2 linked regions of the Mytilus edulis genome follow. The protein of the gene in region 1 interacts with the protein of each later gene in a pairwise test. Links are inferred from orthologs where the notes say so. Each region holds a gene or a part of one and is shown on either strand. Other genes may lie near its edges. The genes, in order: proteasome subunit beta type-7-like and proteasome subunit beta type-4-like.

Evidence for each region.
Region 2: the proteins of proteasome subunit beta type-7-like (region 1) and proteasome subunit beta type-4-like interact in a two-hybrid assay, tested with the Caenorhabditis elegans proteins (2 studies listed by BioGRID). The link is inferred for Mytilus edulis from reciprocal best matches to the Caenorhabditis elegans genes pbs-2 and pbs-7.

The regions. Positions count from the first base shown.
Region 1 is NC_092345.1:65,568,481-65,579,821, forward strand, and holds the start of proteasome subunit beta type-7-like, read left to right. Parts: upstream 1-3,897; 5' UTR 3,898-3,948; coding exon 3,949-4,007; intron 4,008-11,341.
Region 2 is NC_092354.1:64,493,679-64,505,019, reverse strand, and holds the start of proteasome subunit beta type-4-like, read left to right. Parts: upstream 1-3,838; 5' UTR 3,839-3,868; coding exon 3,869-4,002; intron 4,003-11,341.

The sequences.
Region 1 (11,341 bases):
TTTTTTCACCTGCTTTGAATGATCGCCAAACCCGGAATTTTCCTTATCCGCTTCCGGAATCGGATCCTATATTGTAAAATTTTGTCTTCACGGTCGCCATTGTTGTGTTTACAATGTTGTTTTTGTCAATCAGATACGATTTTACTCGAATTTATACAATATTTGTCGGCGAATTTCTGTATAAAGCTAGCGGTTGAACAAAATGAACATCGCTGTCATGAATAATAATGATAAAAATAAGTTTTTAGCTCGTTTAATTGGAGACTTTGGTGACTTGCATGGAGGGTTTGCAAAGTAATTTCTTATTTTCTTTCAAGTGGAAGGTAAGCGTCGGGCGATGCTAGAAACCAACTATCCTAGTCGAAATTCCGCTTGCAAAAGTGGAAGGTCGCGGACCTCGGACCACCGCTAATTTGCACACCTGCCTCCAAATTGAAAAGCTACGAAAATTTCTTTTTCTAATTTGAAATTGCCGCCAACTACTGACGTAATTGTACTACGTATTGATGACAAACAATATCCCTACGACTTTTGCCATTTGGGAAATCTAAACTACTTGTCTTAAGAGATTTTCGGCGATTAAATATTTCATACAATTGTTCTTTGACATCTTAGCTAAAAGCACAAGTCATAATGAACTACACAAGGATTCTTAATAAGCACTACTTCCTACGTGTAACTTCAAAACTTTTGGATAAATCGACGATCATTTAAGGTTTTTCTGGTCATATTTTTTGTAATCCAGAATAAAAAGTATTAAAAAAGTGTTCAATTAGTTATATATAACATAGTAGCGAGCTAGATAATAACAATGGAAAGTATTTCACCATTTATTGGGTAGAACACAAATCTAGGGTGCTCGCATAATGCAGCTTAACTGCATAAAAATCATTTCTAGTTTATCTTTTCCTTTGATCATGATCATCTGGTTTACTATTTCTGAATCTGTAATTTGCATTGTATAAAAGTAACATCCCAGGGTCAGATTAATAAATTTACAAAATTGTATCTTAAAAGATAATCAAAGGGCAGATTGCTCTGAGGAATACTATTGTCATTGTTTTCATTGACACATGTATTTATTATTTCAAAAATAATTCAACTGCACGTGTAAAAGAGGGACGAAAGATACCAGAAACTCATAAATGGAAAATAAACTGACAACGCCATGGCTAAAAATGAAAAAGACAAACAGACAAACAATAATACACATGACACAACATCGCAGTACTTATCACCTATTTTCCTATGTGAATTCTAGGTTGAACCCCATTCCTAACTCTTTTAATATTTAATTTCCTTTGGGTCAGTGGGCATTCCTCTGTTTAAATTGCGATTGGTTTTAATATAATACAACGTCTATCAACAGAAAGATTTTTTTTCTTGACGTATTGTCGTTGACAGATACTTACAGAAGCTAGGGAGACTAGTTGAGGGAGACAACACGAAGCGATAATATGGAAGACTCCATTTTGGCTGAAGGTGTGTTCTTATAACATCTTTACGTTGTGGACTACATTTCTTTTAATTTCAATGATGCATAAGATTTAAAATTATGCAACAACAATAACCCTCAATAGCAGACAGACATAGAAAGGATCTCGTGAGTTGGGAATCTAGAGCAACCATTCAATCTGATACCCTTTCAAGTCAAGAAAACTATATGCATGCGCATAATTACCTAAACAAACTAGACTTGTGATTTGTAGCAAGGACATATATAAAATGTTAATAAAACGACCTCCATTTCCATGATTTCTTTATGGAAGTACAATATCAAATATCAGTTTCATAACGGTGAGGGCATGGGCCTGAGTCAATGGTATAAGTCTACAGATTGCTTAAAAGCAATCCCATCCCAAAAATAAAAGAAGAAATCAATATTAGTCATTATCATTATTTTTTTTAATGTAAAAGAAAACTAAAGAAACAAATATTAATGGAATAAGATGAAATACATACATGTTTGATAAATCATCTCTTAAAATTTTACAAGTCTGATAAACATGATAAAAACTTTATCATCATGATCATAATCAGGCGCGGATCCAGAGGGGGGTTCCGGGGGTTGGAACCCCCCCTTTTTTTTTGGACGATCAATGCATTTGAATGGGGACATATAGTTGGAACCCCCCCCTTTGTCCTGGGTTAGGAACCCCCCCTTTTTAAAATGGCTGGATCCGCCCCTGATAATCATGGCTAAAAGTAAAACTTGTAAACATGGTTAAAATCATAAAGTTATTTTTCAAAGTTATAAAAATGAAAATAAATGAAAATATATACAACACCTTTTCTATAGCATAAAATTATAAACATGATAAATGGGGAATGTGTTCATGGGACCCAGAAGATGCCCCTGCTTGCATATCATTATAAAGGGACATTACTGAACATGCTGAAGAACAGAAAAAGTGACTCTACCAAAATTTGAACTAAATCATGTTAATCTGAGTTTTGTGGTAATAAGACATGTAAGAATTGTGCAAAAGTTTCATAAAATTTGGTTTATGCAAACTTAATTTAGACATGTAAGAGAACAGATACAAAACATTCAGCAATTTTTCCATTCATAAAGGGGCATAACTCTAAAAATTTTAGTGACAACTTTTGTGGTAAGAAGCATAGTGTAAAATTTTCATAACATTTGGTTGAGGGAAACACAAAATTCAGCAATTTTTCCATTTGTCATGTTTGTGAAGGAGCATTACTCTAGAATGGTTAAAGTGAGGCCCCCCCCCCAAATTCAAACTTGATCTTTATTTTGTTGTTTTATTAGCATTGTGTATACATATATACTTAGTAAAGTTGAAGATGAGCTTCATTTCTTATTAGAATGCCCTCTTTATGATATTCAAAGGGACGATTTTTTTAAAGACATTTCTAACAATTGTTGTAATTTTACAAATTTAAATCAATCTTCTAAATTTGTACATGTTGTATGGCTCTTGACCCAAGAAAATGTTACTCTTATGGAAAAACTGGGCTGTTATATTTGTGACTGTTTTGAATTAAGGAGATCAGGTATGAACACTGACACTAAGTCAAGTAAATAATTTGAGAATTAATACATATACATGTATAATGTAATTTTATTATTCTTTTATTCACAATATATACAATGTGTGTGGTTTTTAGCTTGATTCTGACCAACGCTTATATTCCAAATATATATGTATATGCCACTATTGTTGTTGTTACCAATTATGTAAATCAATTGTATCTGATTTTATGCCCTTTATGGGCCCTGTAATTTGGGAAATAAAAATATTCTATTCTTTTCTATTCTATATATGTAAGTTTGATTGCATTTGGTTGAGGCAAACTTAAGTCAGAGAACGGAAATGAAAAATACATAGTCTGAAAATAACACCAAACAGTGTTAGAGTTAGGTTTTCTGCTGATAAATTTTTGTCTGTCCCTCAACAGGATTTTAACTTACACCTTTAATACACTACAGCACCAATTGCTTAGCCTCATGTCCAGTGCTCTAGACCACTCGACCAAATCCGCTGTATAAAAATATAACTTCAATAGTCGTAGTGTTATCTTTTCACAGAAGGCGAATCTAGAGATAGACATAAGACACGTGTAATTTATATATATATATGACATGTAAACTGTACCATGACATAGTCAGCAGATAATTTCCACTGGAACTGTAGTTTTTGATAGCTAATGCAGGAAGAGTTCACCAAACAAACAAGCATATTTGTACAAACAAAATTAAAAAATCAAATTATTTAGTGTTGCATAATTATTCTGCATTACTTTCTTGATCTTCTTTCTTCTTCAAGTTCTTGGTTAAAGAAAAATAAGAAATCTCCCGCAAAATGTAGTTGTTATCAATAATGCAAGAAGAGTTCCGAGCGAATATTTCATCTGGTTGCCGGTCAATGATTACTATGATTCGTGAGACTCAACTCTCCAAGGTACCAGATACAATATTGAATGATGGCTGCCCTCACAGAGTTACCAACCGGTGGTTTTAATTTCGATAATTGCCAGAGGTTTAACTATTTTTAGATATAATAATGATGAATGTTCAAATGACGCCTTTTCAGCATTATCTTTAAATATAAATTTCCCTTCTTTCAGTACCCTGGAAACGATTATCTTCTCATTTGAAAACGACAAGCAATGACTATGCAACTTTGTGTGAAAAAAATATTTATTTGTATACAAAAATGACAAATTTAACGAATTTTCATTTTGATCTACAAGAAAAAAGCTCAGAGGGTTTTCAAATGTGATGATTTCTTCAGCATTGTATATGTATTTTGTGGTGGGAGCTGTTGGTCTTCAAAATTACAGACAATAGACTCTTATTTTTTTTTTATTGTCCAAATAATTTATAATTTTAATGTCTGGCAAAGCTATTTTATTATTTTTCTGTGATGCCGTCCTACGACTTCATAAGGCTGAAGCCATTTTTCACGTCTGGACTTTAAGAGCAAATTTTGGGGGTAACTTTGAGACATAATTTTGACAAGAATTTTTTACATAGTTTCAATGTCCTACCTTTTTTGTGATTATCACTTTTACATTGTGGCGTCAGATGTTTTGTATTATGACGTCAATATTTAAAGGAACCTTTGTGATGTCCAGTAATGGCTGACAAATAGCGATAAGGTGTATTAATACAATAGAAAACCCAATTCAATTAATATTTTACTGAGTGTTTAAAAACCCAATTCATTCAAAGTAGAACCCAATTATTCATGTTATTTATTAAAACTATGCATTCTGCATTTCACAACCCTTTAAGTTGCTGTTACATTCGTTATTTATCTTGAATGATGAATTATTTTTGTGTGATTTATAAATTTCTATTTTTGTATTTTAAAGAAATCTACTTTTTGTTCTTAAAATAGAGCACTTTTAAATAAACCATTGTAATTACTCTGGAGATTTTTGCTCAATTACATGTACTTTAATGTAAATATAAATGAAGCGATAAGGGTTGAGAAGTTACAAATGGCAGATCTAACATGGGTAACTGAGTCCTTGTTTGATTCATTAAACATTTGTCCATTGCTAAAATTTGTAGCTCTTTATTTAAAACAAAAATGCACTATTTCATAAAAATTTTCTTTTTATAACACTAAGGCCAGGGTTTTTTAATTTGTTGGTTTACGGATTTTACCCATGAAAAAGTCGAGTCGGTCGGTCGGAAAAAAAAGAAAAAAAAATATCTTTCAAGACAGAAAAATATGGAAAACAAATATATATTTTATCTTTCTAACAATATGTTTGTGATGCTATTTTATCATCATTTCTTAGATTTTAGTTCGATGAAATCAGCTGTCATAAACATCGCATGACATTCTAATAATTTCCCGTAAACAAAAGGGGGGGGGGGGGGGGGTGCACGTACAAAGAAAATTAATTTCAGAAAACTTGGCGAATTATGATCTTCAAGCACAAAAACTGATAAAGAAAAAAAAATGTAAAAACGTCACGAGTATGAAAGTAAGTTTCAACACACGTGTCAACAAACGTAATAGACTCGTCCACTGGAAAAAACGAGGATATCGGGTTAATCTGTGTCATGCATTACTGTTTTCACAGTGTAGATACTATTCTGTACGCTATCCGGAAGTCGCGATTTTCGAAGCGAGAACTTTTTGGATCACATTTTAAATTTGATAGGTATACTGAATTAAACGGTAAGTTGATCATCTGTACATTGCTTAATGATTAATTCAGCTGGCATCGATATTTTCAAATGGTTAAGAATTAAATTCCGCACAATCATTATTCGTATCTTTGCCTTAATCAAGAGATTTTCAAGTGCATCACTAAGAAAAATCAGTCGGCGAACCTAAACACAATCTTTTTACCCTCTTAGTGTACAAATCAACATAAAAACCTGACTTAATTAACTAAATGAAGTATATTTCAAGTGGTGGTAAAAGTTTCAACCAGATCTTTGAAGCCAGAAATAAGAAAATTACACTTGTTTGAATTTCTCACTGTACGATCAGTCTCGCTTGTATATTTAAAACTGTATGATCAGTCTTTATGTCACTGTATTCTAGTGGTGATTTCAAAGTTATTTACGATACATTAGAAGGTGGCATTTTTCTAAATAACACAAATATATTTCAATGAATTCACATCCTGAAAACTTATGAAACATGTTTTAGCTTTATAGGGTGTACTCGACTTACTACATTAAGAATAAGGATGTTTAAATGTTGCTAAAATAAGAGAAAGGTTTGATGTATACTAGTATATAAGTTTCAGAAATGTCCTCCGTTATTCTTAAAATTGTACAAACACACAGATTTAGTTGTTATATAAAAATGCATGTATTTACACACATTCGAGGCCGTACTGTAGCCAATAATTGATCACAGATGTAGAGCTGTCTCTTTGACACTCAATTGTCCACCACTTTGTCAAGCGGGGGGTTATAGTGATAAAGAATTCCGTCTTTCCGTTCGTCCGTTGGACCGGTACAATATGTTTCGCCAGTTTGGTAAGCGCATCTTCTCATAAATAACTTAATATACATTGGGGGTTCCGGCCATTTTTAAATGGAGAGGGGATCCAATCCAGGAGAAAAGGGGATTCCATTTATGTTATCATAAATGATAATGACTGTATTGTGAACCGTCTATTTCAAATTTTAGTAAAAATCTTGTATGGGGTTACTTTATATAAGATACGGACTTGAACATTGCATTATATGGGGACACCCATCAGGTATTTCCAACACCTCCTAAACCAATCATTAAACTTTTCTGAAATTGCTCCATTTTTACTCGATTAATGCATTATGGACCTTCTATTTCTGTAAACTTACCAAAATTATATCACATGAATTATCCCCCTACGCAAAGCTGTCTTTATCCATTTTTTGTTATTTTAAAAGAGACAATCTTGATTTATGTTATCATCAATTGTTCAACGGCGGACGGTGTAAATAATCTTTAAAAATATAATAGCTAAACAGATAACTGCAACGATACACTATTACAAAGTCCACAAGCGAATCATGTATTACTTATGTTATAGTTCCCGGGATAGTTCATAATATCACATATATACACGTATATACCTTCAAATTGCTGTTGTTTTTTCTTCAAAATCACGACTGGTCATACAGTCAAAAAATCTGAAATCGCTTCTAGAATACAGTCAGTTATAGACTGATCGTACAGTAATTTATTTTAGGATCCTCAAGGAAAACTATTTTTTTATGGGAAATACGAATATTCTACTTAAATACAAAAAGAATATTGAAACAGTATATAAACTGTAAACTGATGCAAATATTTGCAATAAAAGATTATTTGCTTTGTACTACGAGAGCAAAATTGTCCATCGATTTCACTTTTTTCTACCAAGTTGATGTGATGCACACGTATATTTTATATTCTAATGTATGTTTTTGTTACAGTTACTCAAATTTATGATGCTATATACACCTTGTAGATGTTCAAAGCACTTTGTAGATATAGGAGTAAACAAATGATGAGAAAAGTTACCATAGGCAAAACCGTCCTGTTAGCCAGTTGGAAATCATCGCTTCGAAAATCGCGACTTCCGGATAGCGTACAGAATAGTATCTACACTGTGGTTTTTATCCAAATGAACGATATTTTTTATTATAGATTTATGAAACAAGATAATTCCAAATGATTATTTAATATTCAGTTCTTTAACTTGACGTCTTCCACCTGTCCACATTTGGACAAGTCTATTTCTATCAGATGATGCATCTTACGGACTGATGACAAATACGGGAAACAACTTATTTTGTAATTGGTTTTAAAGGTTACGTTTCGCAAACTTATTTGCGCAAACGACATTTCTGATTTTTCAAGGTCAGTTATACATGTTATAATTGATTTGTCTATTTTTAGAAACGTAAACTGGAAGTTTTATTTTTTACACTACAGAAAGTGTTATCAATTTTGATAGTGATAAATGCATTTCATTTCATAAATAAAAGAATATTTTAATTATTTTTCAGGGATAATGCATTTGTTAGGGTTGGCGGGAATAAAAAAGCATGAAAAGTGAATTTTATTTTTATTCTGGAAATCGGCAAAATCGAGTCGGCGAATCCGTAAACCAACAAATTAAAAAATTCTGGCCTAAAAAGAAGAGGTAGAAAAAGCACCTCAGACTTAGTTTATTAAATTATCTGAAAACTGACACATTCTAACTAATAGAGAAATGTCACCCATTATCAGTCAGAGCTCAGACATAAATAAGTCTGAATCTGCTTTTGACTTATAGATGTCTAAATTTGTAAGTTTTAGGATTTGTCTCCCTTTAATGCAAGACAAAATACGACTTAAATAAGTCAAATATTGTTAAGCAAGAAATGATTGACCAGAATCAAACAGTTGCAAATATCAACTCCTACAAGTCGATAAGTTACCAAAATTGGTCAACTTCAAGACCCAAGCATACTTATAAAAAGGTCATGCATCTAAATCAAATAATGACAACATTGAAAGCCAATGCCTTGTCTAGATCTTCTAAAGAAAAATATGAATGAGAGTCTGAAAAATCGGGGATCATGTTAATTAACCTTACAATGCAACCACCTGGATCCACACTTAATGAGGTAAAACATCTGTGTTTAGTAAGGATGTTCAATTAGATAATTAAATATAGATAGATCAAGTCCTTGTGAACTCTCAGACAGGTTTTTACTGTCAAAGGTGGTGTAGTTTGGCCACCAAGTCAAGTTAAGTTTTTTCATCAACATAAATAGACCTAAACAAGTCTGTCATTTTGTGACTTAGATAAGTCTAAAATTGAAAACACATTTTTATAAAGAATACATGTTTTAACTTCTTTAAGTCAAAAACAGAAATAGACTTGTTTATGTCTGAGCTCTGACTGATTATTATTTATTCCCTCATGGAGAAAGCAATAACTGGACATTAAATAACCATCCGTTCATCGTGATCATATATTTATAGTGACTGTTTTGCTATTTATATAGCCAAGGACAGTAGAACTATTTTACTTTAGAAGAAAAAACTGAATGTGTATAATATTAAGGGACATAGATAAGCCATTAAGATAATATACATATGCAAGTAAATAGATTACATTTGTATCATATGTATACATGTAAGTATCTTACAAATTTACTTGTACAATGTATAAGTATATACAATGTAAATATTCACTTCTTCAAGTAAATAAAAATAACCTGTACAAGTCATTGCAAGTGGTACTCATTAATGATAATTTTTAGTGGAAGAAGACGTCAAGTCTTCTGAAGACTTAAGGGGCTGACCATTGACATTGAGTCTCCGTATGCCGCATTCATTTCGTGTATTACAATTTCAAAACAACTTAGATTCCTGACACCGATTTTTACACATGATTAGGCATCTGAATCATTTAATTTGTAAATTATGATTGTAAAACAATCACTATCGTAAATATGACCCTTTTATTTATGTAAATTATTAGATTTCATCTCATCCACATGAACGTTATTTGTTTACTTGTAACAGGATGTTTTAACTGTAGATATTTGTATTACGCATGCGTGAATTTGGTATCGGGACAACTCGCCCTGTTTACAAGTTCGCCCTTGAAGTTACGAATTTGCAATCCTGCAGACAAGAAGATTTTGTTTTTATATAAATAAAAAGGATATATAAAGTGTTGTCTTTATTCATGGTTTTCCTTTGTCATGTGAATTAGATGCCCTTCGTAACATACATGTGAACCTCCCGTTTAGGAGAAAAAACTCCCGTGTATGAAATTTTTCAGACGCCATATTTGATCATTTCTTACTACTGTACGGGTGTAATTGACACCTGTGTTAAATTTTACCTGAACATCAAAGAAGATGTATAATTATATGGCTTCAATTGACAGCTTGGGTGTCAAACATACTGGTAATCAACGATGTTTACCTCCGGCTAACTGCCGTTGTGTTATCAAAACGATGTGTATTGGGAATATTGAAATACTTTTTTGTTACTTCCCTTTGTTTTATCCTGTTTTCAGTTATTTTGCTTTTAAAAATGTAAATTGTAAAAAGACTATAAATGATTAATATTTTAATCAAATAATCATAAAAGGATGTTGATTAAATGAATTTAAATGATTTTGGACAAATAAAAAAATTAAAATTTATAAATTATTTTAGCAATCTAGACCTCCTTTCAAGGATTAAATTGAAGTTTATATCATAATTTTGTTTACAACAGAATGTTGTTTTTAATTAATTTACGATGTTGCAAATATACATGTGGAGCTTATTTCTTTCTTATTTGTCTATACATTTACAAATGATAAGGAGATGAAGACATGAACAAAAATATATACAGATAAGATATATAAATATAATGATTCATTTGCTAGCAGTGAACAATCATTTGTCCAAAACAAAACAAAACAAGAAACAGATTCTTCTTATTATTTTATTTTATTCAAATAGAGAGGCAATAATGGAACTATAAACATTACAATTTGATGGAAATTTGAAGAAAAAACACAATTTCTACATCATTTGGTTACATTTATGACAAAATTTATGTCGATAAAAAAACATGATGTTTTGACCATTCAGTACTTAACCCTTTCCTCCATAATGACGCTTTTTGACGCCACCCCCTTTACTCCATAATGACGCCTGTGTAGTACCTCAGTTGAAACACTTTGACTACAAAGTGTCTGCAGTAGACTCAATAAAATTTGTATCCAATATGAAAAGGAATATCATAGGAATATTCTACTTAAATTTATTTAATGAAATATTTGTTTTTTGCAATGCATTTTAATACTTTAAAGCCTATTTTCAGCATTTTATTGAAAAATTCTATTTTGTGTTCATTTTTTACAGTGGGTTGTGATGATCTTCCAGTTAGGTTACCCTCATTTGGAGTGTTGTTCCCAACCTGTTAAAGGTCCATCTTTGTGCATAATTCAAAATTGGAAATTTCAACAAGCATCTAATATTCTTAATCTGGAAAATAAACCCTGGTCTGCTAGCTTCATGTATATTTTTTCTACCGATTTAATATATGACTAGAATCATGCAAACAGACTTAAGGAAAAGGCATGTAAGTTTATCATACAAATATGACACTTTTTCTAGACAATCCAGATCTTGCAAAATACGTCGCTAAAAATTGTAACCTTTAAAATTGTTGTGCAGTAAAAACCCATATGGGAACTTTCAAAAGTTGGCAGGTATGTAACAAGTCTTACTATTTTTATGCTCCATTTATGGGCAATATGTTTTCTAGTCTGTCCGTCCGTCCTGCTTCTGGTTATAAAGTTTATGGTCGAGGTAGTTTTTGATGAAGTTGAAATCCAATCAACTTGAAACTTAGTACACATGTGTTCCTCT
Region 2 (11,341 bases), on another chromosome or scaffold:
CATCCTGCCTTTTTTTTTTTGCAAGGTGTCTCATCCTGCCTTTTTTTTTAACTCAAAACTCCTGTCCTGCCTATTTTTTTCAAATTTCATCCTAGCCCCCCCATAAAAATCAAATGGTAGCTCCCTAAGCATGAACATGTGTGAGTCTCACGCTAAATACTTGACAGCCCTGCTGTCCTGGACACTATTATTTTTTTCCTCGGTTTTTCCCTGTCGTATTTAGCATTTTGGGGGGATGAATTTTCAGCCTCGTTACTCCATTCATCTACCGTGTTTCGTTTTGAAACTGACAAAAGTTCCTGGGGTTCCCGTACTAAAATATTAAGAAATATTTTGTTGCATAGTTTCGTGCTCAAGAGCTGTGCAACAAGACATGTCAATACCAATCAATACATCATACCCCCAAATAACGTTAATTGAAAATCTCGGCACGATACGCAATGTACAATACCTCAATCCATGGTATGAGAAATCGATATTTAAAGTACGAGAATCAACACATGATACCAGGCCACCCAGACATGCCAGAGTTATTTGTTCTATGTTTAAAATATGTACAACAGGACCTGTACAAACCAGTTCAAATTCTTGGAATCCCGGATGACTTAATTGAATCGAAATGGCTAACATAGAATAGTGATGAACGGATTTTTCACTTTCTATTTTGGAAACGTCAAGAATTTTTTGTTACTAGTCCGTCGGGCATATCGGATTACACATTTTAATTGCCCGAGGCGTAACTGATCTAGTCCCGGGCGTCGGGCTAGTGGATTTTTTAGCCCCTGTTCAATCAAATATCAAATGAGGACAGTTTAACAATACTTTATTTATCAACCAAATTAATCAGATTAGGCAACATGGAAGTGACTTAGTGTAACTTCAAACAGTGGCAAATAATATGACAGAGCTGACAGTTTGGATACTGCATTTCCTCATTCCTAATCTTAACCAGTGCATACCATTCAAACACACTCACACAGAGATAATAAGAGAAGAATTTGAAGCATGAAGGAGTAACCCAGCAAATGCGAGACAATTTGTGCTAAGCAGGTATGTTTGACAGCACAGTCAATAGGTATATATTTGATGCTGCAGAAGCATTTTCTCTACCACAAGCCATTATGTTCTGGTAGGTTTTAGATTAAGACAAGCATGTATCATTGTATACAATATTTTAAAATAATACATTTACATGTACATTAATAATTGTTTCAGCAAGGATTTGGCTCACTATAACAATGATATATACACAAATGATACAATTCCTTTGTTTAAGAAAAAAGGATTTTTTTTTATAACAACTGGCCAAGTTAGGGAGCTTCCATTTGATTTTTAAGGGGAATAGCGCTAGGATGAAAATAATAAAAATAAGACAGAAGTTTTGAGTTAAAAAAAAAAAGCAGGATGAGCAATTTGGCCTAAAAAATTTAGCAAGATGACAATTTCAGTAAGAAAAGTAAGATATAAAAACCAACTCTTCAGAGAACAATTCCACCTCGATAATAAGAATGAAATTTAAAAAACGATGTAAGAAAATGTCACTCCATCATTTTTGTCCATGTTGATGTAATGTGGTAAATAAAACTGATACAAATAAAAAAAAAAAATTAATAGGTTTATGCAGAAAACTTAATTGTTTTATAATGAACCAGAAAGAATTTTTAGCAAAGGTCAAAATCTAGAACGTCAAATTGACCTTTGACCTTGACCTCAATTTTGAGGTCACAGGTCAGTGATCTCAAATCAAAAGACCCATGGTCAATCACTTGTATGGTTGTGAAGAAATACTTATTTCAAATACAAAAGGGGAGAAAACTCCTATAAGGGTTAACCAAAACTCTTCGACTTAAATAGGTTGAAGTTGCACCTTTTTGTAAACAGTTATTTGGCAAACACATCATGTCATTTACTGTCACAGTTTCTTTGGAATATCGATAACAAGCAATATTCAAAATTTATTACATGACCTTGACCTTTGACCTAAACCTCAATTTCCTTCAATGGACCAAGGACTTCATATCAGTAGACTGTAGGCCTCTACGACTAATAACATATGAATTTATCCAACAAATCGCATCTTAAATTTTTCAAGGGAAATAACTCCCGTAAGATGTCTTCCGATCACTCAAGTCAAAATAAACCAAATCATTCTTAAGAATAGACGAACAAATTGGTGAAAACAGTTTGCTAAAATCTTTTACGGTTTTAGAGATATAGCGATAACAAGAAAAAGGGGACGCGGGGAGATAACTTCTATAAGAATAAGTGTTTGGTCACACAGGGTGAGTTTTGAAACCCCATTACTGTACAACATCATTGGCCAAAAATCTATTCGATATGTTGTAAGACGAAAAAGCACCTCAGATGGTAGAAGGAAAAAAAAAAAAAAAAAAAAAAATTAATCAGAAGAAAAACAAAAGGTCTTTCCACACCTAATAAACTATTAAAAAAAAATCCAAGATCGAAAAAGGGTGAAAAATAAAAAATGGTCGTAATTGAAGTACTTTTATGATGATTAAAGTTAAAATTTTTGCCAAATGATATTAACAGTAATTTTTGAGGCATGATGATAAAATAAAATTGAAATGTTTTGACAAATCATTGTAATTACTAATTAATTTTTTTCAAAAAATAACCATTACGATAACTATTTGAGACCTCCGAGGAATCACAATAACGATATGTTGACGACAAGGCTATATTTTTTTTTCTGGGACGCCTTCGAATCTCAGTATTCAATGGTATTGCAGAAAAAATTTAAACCAATTTGACATTAATGGTGAGCTAAATTACCATATGAAGCAAGGCGTTGAAGGGAATTATTACCCTCATAAAAAGGCAGGACAGAGATTTACAACTAAAAAATGCAGTTCAACATTTTCCATCCTAGTCCCCATAAAAATTAATTTGGAAGCTCAATGCACAGGCCACAGGCACTTGTTTCTATCCATAGGAAGGTCGACTATCCATTTAATCTATCCATAATATATCTATTTATATGGATAGTCGACCTTCCTATGGATAGAAACAAGTGCCTGTGATAGAAACAAGTGCCTGTGGCTCAATGCCTATGTTTTTTCCCTTGCCCATTGGGAATCCCCATTTAACGAGATACAGATGCTTCAAATTATTTACATTCAAGCTTATGTTACAAGATGTCCAGACTATTTTTGTGTTATATAAAATAAAATCAGTAGCTATTCGTTTTTCGCAACATTTTTTGTTTTGTTCGCTCCTCCTACTTTCACTTTGTGGGTTACACTAATGTCCTGACAATGACCTGACAATGTCCTGACAGAAATGAAAATGCTTAATACTTTTTTATTATTGGAAGGATTTACTTGAAATTTGGAATCAAGCAAGATGAGAACTTATATTTAATAAATAGAATTTAAAAAAAAATAAAAAATATTTTTAAGAGTTAGAAAACTTGACCTGACCAACTTGACTTTGAAACTACTAATGTCCTGACCGATATGAAACGGCTAAAAAATGTTTTATTATTGACAGGATAGACTTCAAATTCGATACCAAGGAAGATTTATACATTTAATACAAAAATATAAGAAAAAATAAGAAAAAAAATATTTTCAAGAGTTAGAAAACTTGACCTGACCAACTACGTACTCCCGTGACTAATGTCCTGACCGATGTAAAACACTTTGTCACTTTTAGTTACCTCCCTTAGAATGACTTAGTCTTTAAGCATATTCCTTATTATTCTGAATGAAACTTTAGGTGTATAGAGGTTTTTTAACTTTACATTAATATTTTGTCGTATTTTGCATTGCAAAATTCACTTCATTTACTAACTTTTGATTTGATAAATTTAGAGAGTAATGCAGTCGGTATCCACTTCCGGTAAAAGATGACTTCGGAGAGTATGATGTCTACAGAATTTTGGAGAAATGGACCATCTCCTGGTTCCGTTTACAATTTCCCAGGCCCAGGACAGACTGCAATGCAAAATCAATCACAGATTGGTGCAGCTAAACGTACACTGTAAGGCATATCACAATAAACAAGTACACATAGAAAGACGAAGCCGTGTTACAAATCCCCCCTTTTTTCTCTTTATTTTGAAACATTAATGTCATTGTTGGTAGTAATGTTGAAATTAGTCTACCAGTCAGTTCAAAACCATGCATGACCGATACATTTGACAGATCATTTCTTTCTTGGCTCCATTCTGTTTAATGTACAAAATAATGAACAAAAAACAAATGTGTAACAAACGAAAACCATTGAATTACAGGCTCCTTTAGACTAGTCCAGCCCTGGCCTCAGTGACTCATTTTTTTTTTTTTTTTTTTTTTTTTGTTGTCACTGAGTCCAGCTCGCCCTCCATTACCTTCAATGGTGCAAGCTCCCGGGTAGATTACCCGGGGACGATAGAGACAATGCCCGAGCGCTCAAGTACGAAAAATGTATCACAAATGGTAAAACTTGATAAAATAAACAAGTTACATACCTGAAATGCTTGTACACTATATAGAAACTCATCTTAACAAAAGGAAATCCCTTGCAGTCGGAGCTGTGGACATCTTGTTTACATCAGTAATGCTATATTACGGAACGTGACGTTTCTACGCTATAACGTTAGACGAAACGAATTCAATGAATCGATAAAGATTTTCAACGTTTAAACTCGTAACACGATACCGAATGGCATATCTCCCGATTTCTAAACTTTTTGGCACACTTGTATTTTGAATCTAGTTACATCAGTATAAGTCATTGTATGCATAAAAACTTTGATCACCATTTTTGGTCTTGTAATTTTATAGGAAAACGTCAATTTTTGCGACAAATTCACATATTGCTTTTTATCCATCAACAGAATTTAAAAGGTTGGTTAATCCGAATCCAGTTCCAAATATCCACCACTCATCATAATATTATGGCTAAAGCTGTAGCCATGTCTGCCAGTCGAGCTCTAAGTTTATTAAGTGTTAAATGTAAAGCACATTGTGGTTTCTAGCACAGTACCTTTAAAACATTATTTGATACTCTGGTCTGGTCAGTAATAAGCTACGGTGCATCCATTTGGGGCACTCGTTCTTTTTCTTGTATCAACGCTGTCCAGAACAGAGCTATCAGGTTTTTTTTATAGGTGTTGGTAAGTATACGCCAAATGATGAAATTAACGGGGACATGGGATGGAGACCTCCTAGTGTAAAACAATGAACATGTGTCTTAAGGCATTGGGCAAGATGTAGTGCCATGACCAATGACAGAATAAATTATAAAGTTTTCAAATGGTCCCATAAAAATGCTGTAAATAATAAGAAAAACTAGTGTAATAGAGTCATGAAAAAAACTTAAATATTGTAACTTTGATTTGTATACTAGTATTAATAGTGTGCTGCATAAAGAAAGTTGTTCCGTACAAATTGAAAATGTTTTATTTAATAAATATATTGCAGAATGGCAAACGAAAATTTTGTCACAGAGTAATGGTAACATGCTTCGTACTTATAAGCGATATAAATCACAATATTGTACAGAGTTATATTTAAAACAAAATATGTCTATTAAATTTAGAAGTGCTTATGCAAAATTTAGATGTGGCGTTGCGCCAATTAAAATAGAAACAGGACGATATGAGAAAAAGCGAGTAAATGAAAGATGTTGTTTCATGTGTAAAAACGAAATTGAAGATGAGAAACAGGTAGTTACTTTATGTCCTTTATATGCAGACCTTCGAAATATATTGTACAGTACTGTTCAAAAATATCGATTCGATAACTTTTTTCTCCGATTTCCGTGTTTCTCGGAATCACACCGAGTACCGCGGATTTCACTCCTAAAATCCTCCAAAGATTCTCTCCCAACACCGCGTGGCTGTTAATTGGTTTATTGCCCATCGGATGTACTTCAAATTAACGACGCGTGACAACATAATTGGATTACCCAGATAATTTACCTTTGAACATTTAATCGATCTTGGTTGCACAGGTGTGCTTTAAAATCACGGTATTATAAATTGAACAAATGTTTTCCTTTCTTTGACAGATAAAGATGTGACAATATCATTTAGAATAAGATAATTATTATCTTTTATATTTGTGTCTTATGCCGTTATCTTTAAAATAGAACGTACATACGAAAAAGTATGAAGAAAATTGTTATTTTGTGTTTCTATTACAGTCCGGTCAGGTCATACATTGTGTTCTTTCAGCAAGGACGATTTTGCCACAATTAGTTTCTTTTATAACTTATTCAATAAGCAATATCAGCGCATTAATTGTTCATTATTAAAAAATCAACTGGCTAATAAAATCATGTTTTTTTTTCGGTAACCCGATTCATCGGATCATCAAGTAAACTTAATTTATTGAGCAATGTAAAATATGATGTTTCACCACCTCGGTACATTTATACAGACTTGAATAATTCAAATTACGAACAGAAACTGTTAAATGACAACTCTGTTGACAAAGGAAATAATTTCAAGTGATATTGATAGTGTTCGTCATTTTCGCATTTTACGGAACGGTTTTCAAATTGACGAAAGTATTTATATCAATTTCGTCATTTGAATTTGGAAAGTGAAAAATATTTTCACATTAATTATATTATAAATGTACTATAATTCTACCGGTGTTTGACAAGTTTATGACGCTCAATCATTTTACGTTTACAAAAGATGTTAAAAGTTGTGATGATAAGTAATCCGCTTATCGCTATCCGATAGGTCACTAATCCTTTAATTATTAATAAAATTTATCAAACCTCATAATTGCCCATCATAATATTCTATTCCAGTTAAATCAGTCATCATTTTATTTTCAAAATTTCCCAACCGCCTACAATTGGCATTTCTTTATCGTATTATCATGATTATTGTCATTTGAATACAATCAGTCACCCCGGACAATTTCCATCATAATTTCCATTAATACATCACCAACTGTAAATCTATATTATTGACCATGGACATATAACTAATGTACTTTCTTTTTTGAAAGATAAAACATTAAAATTCAAATAGTTAAAAATGTGTTCACGTTTATTCGGATAAGAATTATATTTTCCCGATAAATCAATTGTAAAAGGACCTTCTGGAGCCTCAATACGATTGCACAAAAATGTCGCTCTGCAACTTTAGAAACCTTGAATGGACTTTCCCACGGTCGGCCAGAAAGGTCACCTGAGTTTACTAGTACGCGATATTTTTTCCCGCCCTTTAATAAACTCGTGCTGTGGATAACATTGATGTTAACTATTTTTAGCATTTAACATTGTTAAGTAAGTCAAGTTCAACCCAAACTGTTGATAACTGAGATGTGTATCGTGGAATTGTCTTCGCACGGCAAATAATTGTTTTTAAAATCTTTTGTTGAAAATACACAAATTTACATTCATTGTGCGAAAGTTAATATTAAACAAAGACGAATTAATGCAGCTGGAAGTATTCCTGTTGTAACGGAAATGTATTATTATTCTGCTGTACTGCCAACAAATCGTAAAACGAAAATGCCGTAATTGTTTTAAAAGCATAACGAATGGTGAATAATCTTTTCCTTTTTACTTGAATATACAAAACTTTCAAACACGTAATTTTATTTAACTGCTCAGATTAATTTAGCGAAAGTTTCCGGTTATTTTTACACAAGTATGCTCATTTCGTAAATAAAATATTAATTTACTGGTGAAGACATCGAGGTCAAAATTAAGTAGTTTTCATTTTTTATAAAACTTAAATACAATTGAAAGAATTAACAACAACATTTTGCTTTTAAATCTTTTATTCATTCCAGCAATTAGATAATCGTAAAAAGAAAATGCCGTAGATTTACACAATTAATACGGGGCAATCATTTTGTCTAATGAATGGTGAATAAATTTTCCTTTTTACTTGCATATATAAAACTTTTAGACTTATAATTTTTAAATAAAGACTTTAACTTTGAAGTAGAATATTTTGTTTTTCACATATTCCGCTATATTTTATAATCGTTTTTTTTTAAAGCAAGTACATTAAGGTTAAGATATTTTTAGATGGGCTAACAAAAAATACGAAAATATTTTGACTTTAGTTTTTATTACCACAAATGAAATTTAATTAGTATAAAAGACATTTAAAATTATACACCGGTTTGACACTTAAACTGGTACAGTAGACCGGAAATATAACTCTTTATAACTTCAACCTTTACCTGTCAGGTAATCCAATTACCCATTCAGTCTTGTGCCGGTATAGATCAAAGTAGGATAAGGGCAATTAATTCCTCGGTGTCGAGAGTGAGCTCGTTATCACAATAAACATTTACCTGATTTTGGGAGAGATTACTCCCAAATTCCTCCCAACATTTTGAGAGGAATATCGGAGTTTGTCGGAGTGGCTCCGACATTTTCCTCGGTGTAGGGTGTGGGAGAGTTGGTACTCTTGAACTGTACTGTATAATGAAGCAGTAAAACATAACGATCAATTTTATAACTTGTCTTCTGACGAAAAATTTATACTTTTACTCAGTAATGAAGGACTATTACACTGGTTCCCTGAAAAATATTCTAATTTCAACCCATAAATGTATATGTAAACAATAAACCGGTCAATATAAACAAAACAACGATACCAAGATCGACGCTCGTGACACTTTTTACTTCCAATATTCTCTAGTGAAAAACAGATACCCGGAATAAATACACGGTGGAATGAAATTACGCTTACATATGCACCCTCTATATAAGTAAAACACTCCCTGCAAAAATTCCAGTTTGAAATTGTGCATGTACGACATGTAAGCCGGAGTCTGTATTCTGCATGTTATTTTATATCATGTATCATAATGCCAAATCCAGCAACCTGTCATTTCCAAAAAAAAAAACCCTGACGATATACGCAACTTTAGTACAAGCATGCAAGCAGGTATACTATTTAAAAGACTGCCGTCCTAATAGATAAGCCGTATATATGAAACCTATATATATACCCAGTGCAAATTGGACTGCCGAACGGTTAAACAATATGATGGTGCTATTTTATAAGGAATGTGGTGACAATTCATGTATCAGTGAATATGCAGTGTAGTGAAATGGTAAACTGGTGTTATCAAATGTAGCAATGTTAGCAAGCTATCATGTACGTCAGTTGGTCTTTGGTGGAAAATTGTTTCATTGTCAACTATACCACATCTCCTGATTTCATTATGGTTTGATTTTTCTCCAGAAGTTCAATTAGAAGTTTAAGGACTTAAACAAATATGTACTAGGAAACTGAAAAATGTCTATGGTTTTGATGTCGTTAATTGTATAGCCTTTGCTATCTTATTGTATATCCCATACCTCCATTTATTCACACAAAAAAAAACACCCAAAAAAAATCCAGAAACCATTTCGGTTCTATATCGGATTTCTTCTGTACAGAACAATGAATTTCAGAGACTGTTTTTACTTGGAATACAGGGAAAGTTATTCAAACAATAACCATTTTTTTTTCCCATTCCATGCTGACAAACTAATTTTTGTATGATCATGAGTTTCAACGTCTGCTTGTGTTTTGCTTTTTCCTTATTCAATCCGTATTCTTTCAGTCCAATAAATTTTGTTTTTTTCTATTTTTCTATTGGTGTTTTTTGTGATCATATTCAAACGGATTTGCATTAATAGGGTTACAATTCCCGGATTTTCATACACCAACCTGAGTTTCTATAAATTAAATTCCTACTTCCAAAACAAAATTTCATAGGGATACGGCGTGCATTATAAATGAAAAGTTTTTGCAAGAATATAAATGAGAAGTTATTGCAAGAATAAAAATAAAGTGTTAAAACTCAGTCCGTAATGCATAAGAAGATATCTATAATACTAAAATTACGAGGTCCAATTTGTCAGCCGTCATCACGTAAAAACGACGAATCAAAGAATTCAACTTTATATATAACTAATATAGTACAAAGGTGTAGATTAAAAATTACACCACTCCAGGCCCTTTTGTTTTCCACGTAAATAATATTGCCAATAATTAAGAAGTTCTGGGTCGAGTCCGATACCGATACCAATAGTATATTCACCTGTTACCGATTACCTTATCTGTACGTTCCGCACTTGCCAGGCGCGCCACCAAACGGTGTATTCAGGATTAATATGCTATATAGTATTACACGGGTCATAATCACAGGGTTGACACTACTTAATTGTCAAATTGTTACCTATTGTAGTATTTTAATCAGTTAGACTTTCTAAGATAACAATACGAATACTAAAAATCTGGACTAAAATAAGGCGTATAGTACAGTTTTCAATTTGTTATCGGGCATGATGTAAAACAGCCAATCAAAGAATTCAACTTTATTTATAACTTATATAGGACAATGCTGTTGATTAAAAAGTACTCCATTCCAGGACCTTTTGTTTTCCAAATAATTAATATTATCAATAATTGATAAGTTCCAGTTCGACGGGTTCAAACAGAAAGATTTGAAAGCAGAGAAAACTGTGTATCTTACAATCGGCATGACTTTATCAGATGACAATACTAATACTAAAATAAGGCTTGCGCATAGCTAAATACTTTAATACAGTCACTGACCCGCGATATCACGGGTGTGTTCTAGTGTTATATATATAGATAAATCTTGCAGATGCTTAGGTATCAATAGAATTTTCAAAAATGATATTTTTGAAGGTCAACAATCAGCAGAATATTCCGGGGAAAACGATAAAGCAATCAATGTCAAATAACTGTTACGTTTTGCAACAAATCTGTCGGCACTCTGCATCTATGGAAATTAACAGTTATAAATGTCACATAGTTACCAAAACAAAAATATTTTTGATTTTCTAATGATTTTCTAATTAAAGAACTTGCTGCATTAACTCGGATGTATGAACGTTTTCTTCGGGTAAAAAAACCCATTCACACCTGTAAAGGAATGACGTTACGCACGATGATCGTACCTCATTGGAAATTTGATGTAGTTGGCAAGACGCAAGTCCAAAATATATAATTGTGTGATATCATATGCATTGTTATTGTACGTATTTTAAAAAATAACGATTTTTAAAATAAAAACGAAAAAAATAATTGTTGAAACTATGTTTTATGCTGCATGCGACAAGCTTATTTTTTTTAAAACAGCGATTTTTAGGTTGTCCCGCGTAACATATTTCATTTATTGTAACCACTAAACTATGATTTTCGTCAAAACTATTTAATATTTTGAAAAACGGGTTTTTCCATTATCAAAAAACTAAAATACATCAATTTTCGATAAGTAGTTAAAAAGCATCGTCAATTTTGCCGAGTCTTACAAGAATGTCGCACTTGCTTAAAAACAACGTTTCAGTCGAATTTTCGGTTTGAACGTTACGAAATATTCGCGACGTTGTGTTA